Drosophila melanogaster: one gene and its partner. The protein of the gene in region 1 interacts with the protein of each later gene in a pairwise test. Each region holds a gene or a part of one and is shown in the gene's direction. Other genes may lie near its edges.

What was found.
Region 2: the proteins of CG30467 (region 1) and RabX6 interact in a two-hybrid assay, tested with the Drosophila melanogaster proteins (one large-scale study listed by BioGRID).

The regions. Positions count from the first base shown.
Region 1 is NT_033778.4:15,534,283-15,542,602, forward strand, and holds CG30467 (uncharacterized protein), read left to right. Parts: upstream 1-3,892; 5' UTR 3,893-4,031; coding exon 4,032-5,237; intron 5,238-5,271; exon of another isoform or gene 5,272-5,295; coding exon 5,296-5,655; 3' UTR 5,656-5,732; downstream 5,733-8,320. Other genes in the region: CG30471 (uncharacterized protein), read left to right, coding at 913-1,243, 1,309-2,146, 2,213-2,578, 2,640-3,186, 3,243-3,368; CG8187 (uncharacterized protein), read right to left, coding at 5,748-6,121, 6,175-6,358, 6,418-6,990; Vha36-1 (vacuolar H[+] ATPase 36kD subunit 1), read left to right, coding at 7,255-7,995.
Region 2 is NT_037436.4:686,813-694,461, forward strand, and holds RabX6 (RabX6), read left to right. Parts: upstream 1-3,704; 5' UTR 3,705-3,807; coding exon 3,808-3,987; intron 3,988-4,136; coding exon 4,137-4,598; coding exon of another isoform or gene 4,599-4,625; 3' UTR 4,626-5,139; downstream 5,140-7,649. Other genes in the region: hiro (highroad), read right to left, coding at 1-560, 990-1,056; CG32483 (uncharacterized protein), read right to left, coding at 1,773-2,068, 2,123-2,308, 2,362-3,147, 3,218-3,269; Vti1a (vesicle transport through interaction with t-SNAREs 1a), read right to left, coding at 5,210-5,808, 5,873-5,966; CG13894 (uncharacterized protein), read right to left, coding at 6,471-7,649.

The DNA.
Region 1 (8,320 bases):
AGATGCCATACGCCTGGTCAAGCTTAATGTATGCAAGTAAATTCTGGAGACACCAGATGAAATGATCGTAGCAATATGTACCAGGCCATAGTCGTTGACCTTTGCAGACATTTAGTGGTAATAACACTGAACTTGGTGGCTTCAATAGTTGGCAATTGAGTTTCCATGAATCAGCGCGCAAGTGACAAGTTCGACAGTTTTTGCCTCGGGCATCCGTAAACCTTCGGGTGACTGTTCATTGTAGATACAGTATCTCACGAATTTCTCGTGAATCGAACTAATCCGATACATTGCAGCTGACATTGAGACGCACTTACTTGTTCGGATGCGGCTAATTGATATTTGAATTGAGCTCTAAAGTCCTCCACTTGGCCACCACACCACTTCCATGTTCTGCGATTTTCCTTTTTAACCCTTTTAATGTAAAGAATATTAATTAGTGAAAAAATGTAAGATCTCACATTAAATAGCTCTCTAAAGAAAGTTCTAGATATAAGAAAACCTATATATATTGTAAATGTTTCTGAACGAAATACGTTTCTTTAGCCCATTAAAGCATTGAATCTGGAATAAATCACGCATTATTTGGACAGCTATTTCAATAAAGATACATTCGATGTTACCTCTGTGATCAATTTAAACAAACAGTGAAAGTTGGTTTCTTAAAAGGTGCTGATTTTAAGGAGGATAAGAAATTAGGAAATAAATTGATTGGGATCTTAAAGGGTTAACTAATTTGAAAAACATCATTACTTCGTTACGCGTCTCGTAAATTTTTTCCGGTAGGAAGTAGACGTAACTTAAGGTCCAACTCGGTTTGCTTTTCGTAACTCGAGTGCGTTCGTATTGACGGGTCAACAATTAAACACCTCTTACTTTTCACAGCTGCCGCTTCGTTAGCGGTTCCTCGGCATGGAAAAGCACTGGAGATTGGTCTTGATCATCAGCATCTGGATTTTAGTGGTGAATGCAGCCGTGAATGAGTCCACTTTGCGACGGCACCGCTACGAGTACGGATTTCTCAACGGCAGCCTGGAGTTGTCCCCAGAAATTATCTCAACGGATATTCGGGGAAAAGAAGCAGCTGCCATCGAATCACCGCATGAACCCCATCTCACCAGGAGCTCCGTCATCTTCGGGCTTACCAAAGTGGCCAACGAGAGCAATGTGACTCCCAGCTGCTACGCCCACTTGAAGCAAGTGCAGCGGGGAATCCTCAGCAGGCAACCATGGGCCATGAAGGGTGAGTGACCAGAACTTTTAGTATATATATAAATATATACAATATAATTTTCCGTATATCTTTAGTTTTAGATGCGTCGGGAACCAAGCCATCCGGCTTTGTGTTCGGCCAGAACTACTGGCTGGGCAGTCGGGATGGATGTGAAGGTGTCCGTCGGCCCGTAGGCATCACCTTGTCGCGGAACTACGAGCGAGTAATGCACTACAGCATCCTCACGCAAAGTGCTCCCTTTGGGATGGACTACCGCGTGATATACATGCGCCACCGCTCACCGTGGCAGGTGGAGATTAAGGTGATGTCCGAACAGGTGCTCCACATTGGATTGTGCCTGCCCAGCTCCTGCAGCTCCGAGGAGGTGAAGCAGCTGGCCAGGTATTATGTGGCCGGAGATTTGTTCGCCGCGGATGATATGTTCGATATGAAGCCGGAGGTGCTCTACATGAAGGACCTCCGGCTGAGCGAACGCTTCTACCAGAGGCTGACCTTCCGTTTGGTGGTGGCCGCCATCCTGGTAACCGGTGCCCTAATGCTCTGCGCCCAGCAAGTGCGGGTGGCCAAGAGGGCCGATGAGCCGGATCTGGGTCTGGCTCCGGTGGAATCAGAGTTGTGGCAGGCACTGGATACCCTCTTGAAGTGGCAGCCTTTTCAGAGTTTCGTGTCCTGTTTCGATGTGGCCAATAACTGGCGGAAGATCTCCGCCATGAGGGAGAACCAGCCAGGCGAGATTCCCATTATGAATGGTCTGCGATCGGTGTGTGCCATCTGGATTCTGATCTTCCATGTCGTGTGGTACATGTACTTCACTGTGCACAACAAAACGGTACTGATATCCTATGCGGAACAGGTCTTCTTCCAGTACGTCTCCACAGCTCCACTTCTCGTGGACGTCTTCTTTACCATCAGGTAAATATAATCATTCGATTATCTAATGTATTTTGCTGATCCATTTGAAAACAAAAAATTGTCCAGTGGCTTTTTGCAAACGTACAACTTCCTGAGAAATGAGCAGCAGCTGGACGCAGTGCGTCGCAATGGCCTGTGGGGCAATGTGAAGCTCTTTGGCAAGCTGCTGTTCCATCGCTACCTGAGATTGGGTCCTCTCTACTTGGTGGTGATGGGCAGCGTGGACTTGGCCTTCGCCTACATCGGAGACGTTTCCGTTTTCCACATCAACGAGAGATTCGACGAGTTGTGCCCACAGCACTGGTGGAGGAATCTACTCTTCATCCAGAACCTCTTCGATCACCGCGAAATGTGCGCCAATTGGAGTTGGAGCCTCGCCTGCGACATGCAGTTCTTCCTGCTGGCAAACATCGTGCTCTTTATTTACGCCAAGTGAGTTTGGATTTAAAATCGCAAGGAAATATATTATTATTTTCATTATATTTCTATCCAGGCATGAAAAGCTAGCCAAGGCAATTACACTCACTGGACTAATGGGCACGATAACGTGGTCCTACGGCATTGGAATCGCCAAGAAGTTCGAGTTCTCCTTCGACTCCACCTATGCGACTGGCACTCAGATATACACGAGTCCCTTTGTAAGAGTTTTGCCCTATATCGTGGGAGCCATAGCCGCATGGTATTACCAGGAGCAGCGATTCCAAGTGAGTGAGCTGAGTGAACGCCGGATATGCCGGTGGTGGCATTTCAGTCTCAAGGTGTTCGTGGGCTGCATCTACTCTACGGTGAAGCGGGATCTGGGTTACCTTATCACCATATCGCTATTTGTTCTGGGTCGCGCTCTGTTTTCCCTCACCATTTGCTGGATGATCGTGGGCAGTGCATCGGGTACTGGCGTTTGGTGGTCACGCCTGCTGGAGGCCAAGTTCTTTCAGCATTTGAACCGCCTGTCCTACGCCATATATCTATTAAATCCCCTGGTGATTGCCCTCGTTTACAGTCTGACCAGTACGAGCTCTGCAGTTGATCCCTTTCTGCTGGTAAGTTGCATTCTCATTTGATTTTGCTTTTTAATAATATTGAGTTGTTTCTTTAGAGCGTCATCTGCTGCGGGTTTACGATGATCGTTTATCTGGCCTCCATCGCCTTTTCGCTGGCTTTTGAGCTGCCCTACAGCAATCTGTCTAGTTTGCTGCTCAAGGGAAAACCAAAAACCTCATAAACTGTGATTACCTTTCATTGTTAGCATTACATCTAAGTCATTTATTAATAGAAAGTTATGGTTATAAAATAATGTTATCTTTTATTGGAATTTTCGAATTTAGATATAATATTAAAAGAATAATATTATAGCAACGTTGCTGTTGGAATTTTTGAATTTAGTAACAAACATACTAATAATACGATATTTAATAAGTGTAGGCGCCAATGTTTTAAATTTCCTTGTGGATTCCATTGGATTCCACAACGTGTGGTGATGATTAGGTTTGCACCTTCACTAACTAATGAAATCCACACTTTTGGTTGCTTTCAAAGAAGTTAAAGGTAGTTTTGGTTGTTTTAAGTTGTAAACTGATATTGTTAACCAGCTGACTAACTTTCCCAGTTCAGAAGTATCACACATTTGAGCAATATATTTAAACGATCAACCCACCGAAGTGCGAGAAAGTGTGACCTGCTTATGTAAAAGTGATTTAGATACCGAGCTTTTCCGAACTGACTTTTCCAAAGCTTAAGGTATTTTTTATGAAAGAACCAACGGACCCACTGACAGCGTCTAAAAAAAAAGATCTTGTCCAAAATATATTGATTAGTACCACTGCCATTCTGCATTCTGCCAAACGAACCCGTTAAACAGTTTGCCCAGACCCGGATCCAGATCGAAATGCCCAAGGAAGAAGCGGAGCCATCGGCGAGTGGTCTTGCGGTGGCCGCCAAGCAAAACGATGTGCCATCCGCGGAAAACTCGAATCACAAGGAAAGCGACGCATACGCCTCCGCCTCTGCCAGCGCCAGTAGCGCCTCGACCACGCCCCCACCCGCCCAGGAAGACGCCGAGGAGGCGGAGCTGCTGGAGCGTATGCGCGGCGATGCAGTCGGCAACACCATGTACAGCAGTCGATTCATCCTGAAAACGGTGATGAGGGTGGGAGAATTACTGCGGCATTCAACACTGGATCAGCAGCTGGAGGATGACCTGTGCAAAGTGTGGGACATGTCGGTGTCCCCCGAAGTGGTCACACTGCTGCTGGAGAACGGAGCCATTGATCCGATCATGTACACCCTGGTGGCGGGCTGTGAAGATGTGCGGCTCTACGAGATTCTTATCGGACTGCTGGGCAATATGTGCGCCCAGGTGGAGTGCGCAGAGATATTGGCCTGTGACCGCTACACGTTGGAAACCCTGTTCAAGATGACATACTGCATGGACACCGCCATGTTGATACAGCTGATGCGACTCTTTCAGTACATCATGGCCCATGTGCTTAGCGGCAAGGAGAAGTTCGCTGTGAACTGGTACATCTGCTTTGCTGCCTTTGAGAACTCCGCGCAGAACCTGGGCAGGATATTGCAACTGTCCGTTAGCGATGAACTGCTAGTAGCTGCACTGAAGGCCACAAATGCTGTGCTGGCCAGTTGCGCCTTGGTGGAGGAGGAAAACGCAAACTCCACGTTGAATCTAAAGCCTTTTGCGGAGGTCTTTCTAGTGCCAGAACTCTGCGAGGGGGTCAATAGCGCGTTTTTGCGACTCATGCGCGATGATCAGACAAAATTGACCGACGAGGAAGCTGGCGAGGACAACGAAGATGCAGAAGTGCCAGCGGCCCACGACAGTGATGAAGATGCCGACGTCGGTTACGACTCGTGCGGACCAAAAATAACCTGTGATGTGGAGATCATACAAACCTACCTCAATATATGCACCATTCTGGTCCAACTGCCAGAGGCGCAGGCCTCCATGGATGTGTATGCACCCAGTATAGTCAGTTGTCTAGCGCGAATACTGCAGTTTTTGCAGCAGCCTCTGCAACTCATTCCATTAGGCGAACGCCAGGAGGAGTATCTCGAGGATCTGGCGCACATTTGGAGTGTAAGTTTGGAAAAGATACTTAATATTCGACGTTCTATTTAAATATTTATTTTTGCAGCGCCTGAAGTACTTCTATCACAAGGAGGCCTTCTTAAATCTTTTGGAATTGTGGTATAGACTTAAACAGCACATTGACAACTACACGGGGGGAAGTGATCCCGACGCCAATGAGTTCGAAGAGGACGAAGAGGAGGAGGATGACGCTCCAAAGGAGCAGTATGTGGAGAACGCCTTGAAGTTGCTGCGCCTGTTGGCATGTATGGTGATAAAAGCGGAAAACTCGGATCTCCAAGAGATTGGCGATGAAAAGGTGCAACTGTTTGTGTCTGCACTCAAAGCCGGAAAGGAAGAAGCCATTTTCTCAAGGGCACTTGAATGCTTAAAGGATAAAGTGGCTAAGGAGTCGGGCCAAGCCTAAACAACATGCCTCCATGATGGATAAAGCAAAAATGACTGAGATTGTAGCTTGCAGCACAATATATTCTTAACTTAGTTAGTCTCTGTCTTTACCTAAGGTAAATCGTCCAAGGTGCCGGTAGCCTTCAACTTATTACGCATCATATCGCTCCATGACTGTTTTCCCAGGCGCACGCCCTTGTCGCCTGTGCTGCTTACTTCCAGTCGATTTGTATTTGGATTGCTTAGCACGAATTTGTTCTTGCTCTCGTTGAGAGCATGGGCTACATGCTCCAGTTCGTTTTCCAATTTCACTTCGGGGGCTGTTACCTCGATGTGAAGATTCTGCTCTATGGCTTGGGAAATGTGTATGATAGCCTCTTCTAATAAGTTCTCGGCGTCGATTTTGTTGCTCCCCACTAGCTCAGAGAGTTGGACATTTAAATTTCCTCCTTTGGTAGTTATTTGAATATTGCCATGTACTCCAGCTGAAATTGAAAGTTTTTAGCATGATGGTGTTATTCTTCGTTGTTTCGCATACTCATATTGAGATCCGACGACTGATGGACGTGCACTTCGCTGCTTTTGTGGACATTCTTGAGCTCCAGACGCCCAGTTTGTGTCTGAAACTTTGACTTTTCCACATAACAACAATCGGTTACAATACTGCCAGCTTTGGTGGAACAATTCAAGCTGTCTCCTTGCAACTTATCCATCGCAATGTTCTAAAAAAGAAATATAAAGGTTAATAATAAGATCAGATTGATAGTAAATTTTTTCTCACCCCATTTTGTGACTCTATTTGGGTAATCTTGCCCAGCAATGTGCCCTGGCAATTGATGTTGCCATTTTCACTGTACAAGTTTATATGGGTGGCCTTGATATTTTTGGTAAGGATGCCTTCCTTTGCTTTGACTTGCAGCAGTTCACTCTGTATGCCTTCCACTCGCACACTACCTTTTGCGTCCACAGAGACATCGGAACGCACAGGTATTTGCAGATGGCATTCAAGCTTTGAGGGCTGCTCCGCCAGTTGTTTAACCACCACATTGACCACCTTGTCCTCATCGGTTACCTTCACATCGAGAGAGACATTCGAGTTCTTGACATGGCCGCCAACCAGTTGGGCGATAAACACATCCCCGCTGGTATACTGATGCACATCCGCGGGCTGGATGCGCAGGAAAACATCGGACTTCACGTTGATCCTGGCAAAGGGGTTTACATAATGCAGGATCTCCTGATGGACCATCCGCATGCTCACGGCCATGGCTGGTTTGATGTGGGCTCGCGACTTGTTCGCGTATTGGCGTAGATGGTTGTTTAAATGTGTCAACCACACGCGTTGCAGAAGCATTATAAATCCAATAAAGAAATGGAATTTATTAGATTTGTTTACTTTTAAATGCAAAATCAGCTGTGGCTGCGTATTTTGCAGTACTGTATCTAAGCGCACTACCCAGCACCAACTGGTTATCGATTGGCTACGGGCAGTAGCCAACACTGTCATCCGTCATTTTCCAGTTGGAGTTTTTCAGTGTTCTGCGACGGTTGCAGTTTTCTTGATACGCAGTTGAAAATTGTTTAGTCCAGCCAATTACCATCCGAAAAAAACAGCAAAATGTCCGGAAAAGATAGGCTACCGATTTTCCCGTCCCGTGGTGCCCAGATGTTGATGAAGGCCCGTCTGGCTGGAGCCCAGAAAGGTCACGGTCTGCTCAAGAAGAAGGCGGATGCCCTGCAGATGCGATTCCGTTTGATTCTGGGCAAGATCATCGAGACCAAGACCCTGATGGGTGATGTTATGAAAGAGGCAGCCTTCTCGCTGGCGGAGGCCAAATTCACGTCTGGCGACATCAACCAAGTGGTGCTGCAAAACGTGACCAAGGCCCAGATCAAGATCCGCACCAAGAAGGACAACGTGGCTGGTGTCACTCTGCCCGTTTTCGAGTCCTACCAGGACGGATCCGACACCTACGAACTGGCCGGTCTAGCCCGTGGTGGTCAGCAGCTGGCCAAGCTGAAGAAGAACTACCAAAGCGCCGTTAAACTGCTCGTGGAGCTGGCCTCGCTGCAGACCTCATTCGTCACCCTGGACGAGGTGATCAAGATCACCAACCGTCGTGTGAACGCCATTGAGCATGTGATCATCCCCCGAATCGATAGGACTTTGGCCTACATCATCTCGGAGCTGGACGAGCTCGAGCGTGAGGAGTTCTACCGACTGAAGAAGATCCAGGACAAGAAGCGCGAGGCACGCATCAAGGCCGACGCCAAGAAGGCGGAGTTGCTGCAGCAGGGCATCGATGTGCGCCAGCAGGCCAATATCCTGGATGAGGGCGATGACGACGTGCTGTTCTAAGTATTACCTTGGATGTGTTTATTCCAGCAATATTATTGTTAAACTATTTTCTGTTCTGTATCCGTTTCCATATTGTAATTCGCAAAGGGCAAGCCACAAACTTAATTGTACCTATGTAGCAAAAGTGTGTAGACTATTCCAATAAGCAGAAAAGTATGTATTCCATTTTTGTAGTGTAGTGTAAGCTGCGCAAATCATGCATTAAAGTCTTGTTGTATCATACGATGTGCATTCTGTGTAATAATTAAGTGGAAAAAGGGAATTTTCATTGCAAAAAGGGTCATCTGACTTGTTTTATACAATAGCAAAAGCAACAAAAACAATT
Region 2 (7,649 bases), on another chromosome or scaffold:
GAAGGGAGCCCACGAGAGCACAGAGTCTATGGGTGAGGTCCAGGGATCTCCCAAGGCCACCGAAACAAAGTTGCTCTCGATCTCACCGCGCTTGATGGCGTAATCCAACTCCAAAGCGAACTCCGGGGCCATCTTTCCGCCATAACTCTCGCAGAAGATGTGCAGCGGCACAGTCTTGAATTCCGGGTGGTTTGTGTAGAAGCCCTTCATCAGCTCAACGAGATCCAGGGCGATCTGCTTGTTGTTGGTCGTGTAGTAAGAAGATCCGTCCACGTAGCTGAAACCACTGCCCACGGGATTGTCGATGAACATCACGTTCATGTCCTTCACCCAAGTCCAGTCGCGGTAGCTGCCGTCGAGCTTCAGGGGACCCAACTCCTCAAAGTTTCCGTATCCCGTTGAGGAGGCACCTGGACCTCCTTGGAGCCAAATGGCCAGCGGACGCTCCGTGTAACTGGAGACATTGGCGGTGGTGTAGTACAGCCAGTAGAACATGTGGGCGCCAGTCCTGACATCCACAAATCCCCAATCCTGATCACCGGGTCCATAGCCCTTGCGTGCTGAGAGTATATTGAATTATAGCTCATTTCGATTAAATAGTTATTAATATACAAAGCTCTTTGATTTTGTAATTTCATGATAGCCCCTGATTTCTAGGGAACACTTGAGAAATCTAGCCTTTAAGTATATTAAACGGCTGCACGAGTAGCCATTTAGATAAGATTAATTGTTATAGATAGTGTAGATAGTTGATTGTATTGTCTTATAACAAACCGAATAGCGGTTGGTCACTGTATCTTTTACAATGGTAATAAGGTCTGTCCCCAAACGATTCATAAGTATTTCAATCTACGGATATAAAAGTAGGTAAAAAAGTCTGTAACAGATAATTCTGTTGGCCTGTTCTACAAGTCGTAAAGAACCGTTTGTTTTGGAACACTTTCTCACTGATTAGCACCCCTAATTGGAATACAAATCACGATTCTCACCGTCAACGGAAGCCAAGCCGGCAAATCCCAGTAGGGCCAAAAGTGCGATGATAGCGCGTCCAGCCATGTTGCACCAGTGTTTCAGTTCCAATTCCAAGAGACACCGATCGAGAGACAACCGCACACTTGGCAGTTCCACTGCCAATTGATCGCTGGTTGCTCCCAGACATCGAAGGTAAAATAGCAACAGCCAGCACCTGACACACCTGGAATTCGTAATCTGCGGGCAGGGGAACTGTGTTTGCAGAGTATTTATGGCCCTTCGCTGGACGGTGACGCGGCTTTTTGGTCAATCTGTGCTTGTCACTCGTCCGATTTGCCGAATCTTTGTGTCATATATTTAGATAGAGCCTATGAAGCTCCAAAATCATCGCAAAGATTGCACTTTGCTATCTTGAGTGGGTTTTCCGAGGGCTTTTCCTATTATTTTTCGGTATCACTTGCGGTTTATCCCACGTGACATGCGTGAAAGATATCTAAGGTGTCTCCCAAAAACTCTTTTTAAATCATCAGCATTCTTTGATTGATTGACTATATTATTTTTAGGTGTTCATATAATCATATATGCATCAATTCTGGGCATTGCTTTTTAAAGAGCAGATTAAGACATACATTTGACATTTATCAAAATAACTAATAGGATAACTTCCCCAGCTTCTATAAGCAAAAAATCCATTACGATTTACATTATATACTTTCAGTAAAACACTCCTCTATTTTTAGACGAATATAGTATACAACTGGCTTGCATACTGAGTTTATTATAATTCAATTTAAATGAATTTAGCCAAATGAGGTAAACTCTCGAAGTACATGACTCATAGCCGCAGGGTTGTCCGCCGGAGCCATGTGACCACTTCGGTTGATCCAGAACATGGTAAAGTTACCGCCCGTCTTTTGATAGCCCTCCAAGATGCGATCCACCGTGATGCCATTGCGTGGAGCAGCCAGGTACTCGTCCTTTCGGCTCCAGTCCAGCTTGGCTATCCAGTTGACGGTGCCCGGTGTGGCGCAAATCAAATCCAGGCCACCGGAGAATACGCCGACCTTCAGAGGAGTCTTCTCCAGCAATTCGTTCACTGTCATTCAATGGATGTCAGACGCTTTCGTTATATAAGAAGTAATATCCCTACCAATGTGGATGACTGGCTTCATGAAGTCCGTTCTGTGGATGTCAAAAGTGGTCCCACTCTGCGATCCCCAGATGACATTCGAAGGTATACCCAGGGTTTCCGCCACCGGGCCCCGCATCAGATCCTCCAGTAACTTGGTTCGATCCTCATCAATATCGTATTTCACCATGGTGCGATACAGACGTTCTGCAGGGAAATATCATGGTTTGAAAAATATCGTATCGAAGTATTTGGTTCACCTTCGGAGGTCAAGGCCTTTGATCTCTGGTAGAGACCACCCTTTGTCTCCTTCAGCACGTTGTAGAAGTCCACACCCTTGGAGGCTTTCATCACCTCCCACTGGGTGTTGCCCCACTGATAGGTGGCCTGAATCCATCGCTCCTCCTCCACCAACTGAGCCGTGAAGTTCGCTGCCTCTTGAATGGCATTGTATCCCGCGTGGTCCACGATTCCCATTTCTCTGAGAAAAGGTCCCCATGCGAGCACGGAGTCGATGGGCGAGGTCCATGGATCCCCCAAAGCCACCGAGGTAAGGTTGCTCTTGACCTCACCACGCTTCTTGGCGTAGTACAGTTCGAGTGCAAACTCCGGCGCCATCTTTCCACCGTAACTCTCGCAGAATATATGCAGCGGCACCTCCTCGAACTCTGGATGCAGGGTATAGAATCCCTTCATCAGCTCAACCAAATCTAGAGCGATCTCCTTATTGGTGGCCGTGTAAAAGGCCGTGTTGTCCACGTAGCTAAAACCACTGCCTACGGGGTTGTCAATAAAGAGGACATTCATGTCCTTCACCCAGGTCCAGCTGCGCCAATCTCCGTACAAATCGACGGGCCCAAGTTCTTCAAAGTTTCCATACCCCGTCGAAGAGGCACCGGGACCTCCTTGGAGCCAAATGGCTAATGGTCTTTCGGTATAGCTCGAAACATTGGCGGTGGTGTAGTACAGCCAGTAGAACATGTGGGCACCGGGACGCACATCTACGTAGCCCCAGTCCTGCTCTCCGGGACCGTATCCGGGTTTGCCTAGGATGCGCCATTAGTTCATTTAAAGATTACCACATTTCAGAGATAGCGCTCGATTTACGATTCTTACCATGCGCCAAGGCGGCGAACAATGCCAGGAGTGCTACCAACCGAATCGACATTTTCAACTGAAAGTGATACTCAAGCGCACGGGCTTATTTAACGGGTACAGCACTATCAGCAGAACTTGACATCAGATAATAGTTTTTCAAAAATGATAACTTCTATCGATCTGGTTCTTTCAATCATTCAGAAGAGGGATGATAATCATTTTTGAATTTGTATATTCCCTTTTAAAAAGAAGTTGAATATCTGTTTATGTACGTATATTTAGGTACAACTAATGTTGAAACGATAACTTCCTCCATAAATAATCCCTTTTTCATAAACAATTTTACAATATTGTATATTATTATTATAATGGGTGGAATTGTTTTGCCTAAACTAAAACCAAATGCAGATCTCAACTGATAAGACCATTTGAATTCGAATAACTCGAATTATCGGTTATCGATAGCGTTCAAATGGCTGGCAACTCTGCGATGTTGGCTGTTTTTGCACAAACAGCTGTTGTCGCACTGTTGTTGTCGCCTTTGTGTCTGCAGGTGCAAAATAATATATTAATTGGATTAACTTGGGATTAATCGAGCGATCACAGCCATGGCCACGATGCGCATACCCAAACAAAAGGTGATCCTGTGCGGCGACTACGGAGTGGGCAAGAGCTCCCTGTTCCGGCGCTTCGCCACCAACACCTTCATCACGGATACGGACAGGAAATCCACGTTGGGACTGGACCACATCGATAGGGAATACAGTGTGAATGAAAAGCAGATCAAGGTGGGCTCGGGAACCTCTAAAAGGGCGTGATGGCTGAGATATGAATCCTTAAGCTCTTTAGTTCGATTTCTAGACGAAAGCCACAGTTCTTCAGACTTACAACTTATTGCGTTGTGAGACACTTATGTATATACCGTCTTCTTTGACAGCTCCAACTCTGGGACACCGGTGGCATGGAGCGTGTGGCCTCGGTCACATCCTCGTACTACAAGTTCGCCGAGGGAGCCATCCTGGTCTTTGCTTTGGACAACGCCGCTTCGTTCCACTCGCTGTCGCAGCACTTGCTGGACATTGTGACCTATGCAGAGAATGCCAAGATCTTCATCTGTGGCAATAAGAGCGATCTGGATGGCAGGGAGCCGGAGGTCAGCGATGAGGAAGTGGAGGCCTTCTGCGAGCAGTGCCACTCACTGATCAGTGCCACGTACAAGACCTCCTGTCGCAGCGGCGCCGGTGTGGAGGAGATGTTCCGTGACATCTCTAGGCAACTGGTCCACGCCAATCGCTCCAAAATGGAACTGCAGGCACTGGAGCACAAGAGCTTCCAGGTGGACACTGCGAGCAGCGGCGCGGCGACCAACGAGGAGGACGCCTCCTCCTGCGGCTGCTAGCAGTTGGGGAACATTGAGTTCGGCTAGGAACCCTTATTCCCGCCAGGCTCAATGCTCACGCAGAGATGCATTTTTACTGTTTCCTTTATTTATTGATAGCTTTCGGCTATGTTATGATTTTTAGATACGTACATGTTCAATTCGAATTTTTACGAAAAATACGTCCCGAACGCGAACACGAGTCATAGAGTAGGATTAGTTTCTATTAACCAGGCGCCAAACATTAACCACTTAAACTTTGTACACGTAAGCTAGGATGGCGGATACGCGAGTGATAGGTTAGAAATCTGCGGTAAGAATTAAAAAGTAATAGGAATTCCATCGATTAACAAGAAGGTCAATTTAATCTTAAAGGTAAAAGGACAACAAAATATATAGACATCGATTGACCGCAGATAACTACTCTAAGCTTCGACTCTTATTGCACGTAATACTCCATCCTATCTTATATAGATTAGTGCGTAATCTGCAGCTTTCTTCCACAGAATATCTCGTAAAAATAAAATATACTAAACAATAAATAATCAACTCACGAAATTGGAATGGACAGGCTTCTATAACATTTGAATTTGGGCTAAGATCATTGGCTATTGGTTTGCTAGCTAAAATTACTACGACGAGGCGGTGCTGCTTGAACTGGGTGCGAAGGTCAGATAGAGACTGACGCCCACGGCCACCACAAAGCAGACACCCACTCCATACAAGACCACCTTCTCCCGCAGGGCTCTTAACATCATGGTATTCAGAGTGCGAGAAGCTCTTCCCAGCTCGGCATTGGTTTCTCGAAGTCGAGCCCTGGCTCCCTGTAGAGTTTCCCTTTGGTGGTGCAGATCATTTAGGACCTGGGCGCCCAGTTGCTCCGTCTCCAAGGCCACTCTGTACCCTTCGGTTAACCTGTTGCCCGTCCGTTCAATCCTTTCCGAGTTGTCCAAGAGGCGTTGGCGTTGATCTGTACTTATGGACACATCCTCATAGCTGTCACCCAAGTCCAGAGTGGTGAATGTGTTGGCTTGGGAGCGCTGTTTGTCCTTGGTCAACCTGTACTCCGCCTGCAGCCGTTTCAGTTCTGCCTGGGCCACCTGCAGCTTTCCGTTGAAGCTGCTCCGCAGTCCAGGATTTAGCTCCCTCACCTCCAGACCCATCTGCTCCAGCAATTCCTGAGCCTCGGGCAAACTGGAGTCGATCTTGCTGCACAAATCATGGCGCTCGCCTGGAGTAAATGGACAAATGGTAATCACCATAATGTACAATCCATGGACAATCATCCCACTCACTGTTGTTGTTTTGCTGCTGCAGCCGTCCAATATGGGCCGTTATTTCTGCTATTAACGTGGCGTATTGCTGTTCGTATTGCTCCAGAAGCGACATTTGTGCGGTTTTTATTCTACCTTATTCAGTTGTTTATGGTATTTGTTCTGTTTTAGTTCGCGAAAATTACAGATTTATCGAAGAAAAGAAGTAAACATTGTCCAAGTGTGGCCGAGTCATGAGGTGAACAGTAATACAGCAATCTATAAATACTTTTAAGTCGTGGTCACTCTGATTTCGAGTCAGCGTTGCCATACTCATGTAAAAAACACTGCCAACTTCAAGGACTACAATATTCTCGTAAGAACTCAGATAAAACCAACTTCCGTTTTAAATACGTAAATAAAACACAAACATATCTATTATTTTATAAATTCCATTTTATTGTACTTAGAGTAATTAATAAATTAATTAATTAGGTTCAGCTTTATGCGAGTGGAGATTCTTTGTTAACCTAAGCAACTGTTTTGGCGGTAGTACGATTTAATAATACTACATGATACATATGTACACTGTTCATCACATTTATGTTTTGTGCTGTCCTGGTCCGCGATTAGAAAACTCTTAACCCTCGACCAGTGTGGCCTTGTCCCCTTTTCGGAGCACCAGTTCCAATTGGGACAGCAAGCCAATAGCCCGAAAGTTCTCCTTGAAGAGCACGAAGTCCTCCAGCGGTTTTAGGTACTCCAAGGCCTGGTGGTAGCTTTCCAACTCCTTCAGCATGCATAAAGCCTTCTTATCCTCGGGGTCTGGGGATGTGTGTCCATTGGTTTGGCTGCCGGAGGAGCTGGATCCATTGGGGATCTTTTTTGGCGAGGCGGGAGCAGAGGCGGGTTTGGTGGACGCAGCTCGAGCTGGTGCAGGTGAGTCCTTTCCCTTGGAAGAAAGGGCAGGCGTGGATTTGCCACTTGTTCCGCCTCCCTTGGGGGCGTTCTCCTTGCTGCTGGCACTGTCTCTTCCCCCGCTATTATTGTTGTTCTGCTCGTTGGGACTGGAACTTCGACTGTGCTTGCTGGTTAAGGTTGATTCTGCTAGCGGATATGGTGGTGAGTTCACCGCTGAGTTAATCTCTTGCACTTCGTCATCATCGGGTGACTCCATTTTGGGTCTCTTGGCCAACTGAACGGGCTGGAAGGGACTGGCCCGCTGCGGTGGAACATTTGGCGGCAATTGGGGCTGAAAGGGTTCCCTTTGAGGTGGCATAGTGGGTGGAAACTGTTGCATCTGCTGCTGCTGCTGGAGTTGCTGTTGCATTTGCTGTTGATGCCGCTCGAAATAAAAGTCGTTGAAGCTGGCGAACCCGGGGTGTGGAGTAGGATGTCCGGGATGTCCTGGAAACGGTGGCCATGGGTGGCCCATTTGATGCTGCTGCTGTTGCATATGTTGCTGCTGGAGGGCAAAGTGCTGCTGTTGCTGCTGCTGTTGCTCTTGATAGCTCTGCTCCTTTACATCCATACTGTCATCATCTTCTTCGTATTCTCCGTACTGTTGCATGTAGGTCATGTACTGCTCGGGCATCTCCTCCAGTTTGGCCACTCTTTCAGCGCTCGCGGGCGGAAAGAGATGGGCTAGGTCCTGTACGATGTCCGGGATCCACAGGGAGGATCCTAGTGGCTTCAACTGGTTGCTGGCTAGTTTTTGGGCAAAGCCTTGAAGATGAGTCTCTCGGAAACGGTTTAACCAGCGATTGTCTGCTATAAAGGATGTGCTCCCTATGACTTGTCTGGCATTCTCCGCCTTGTC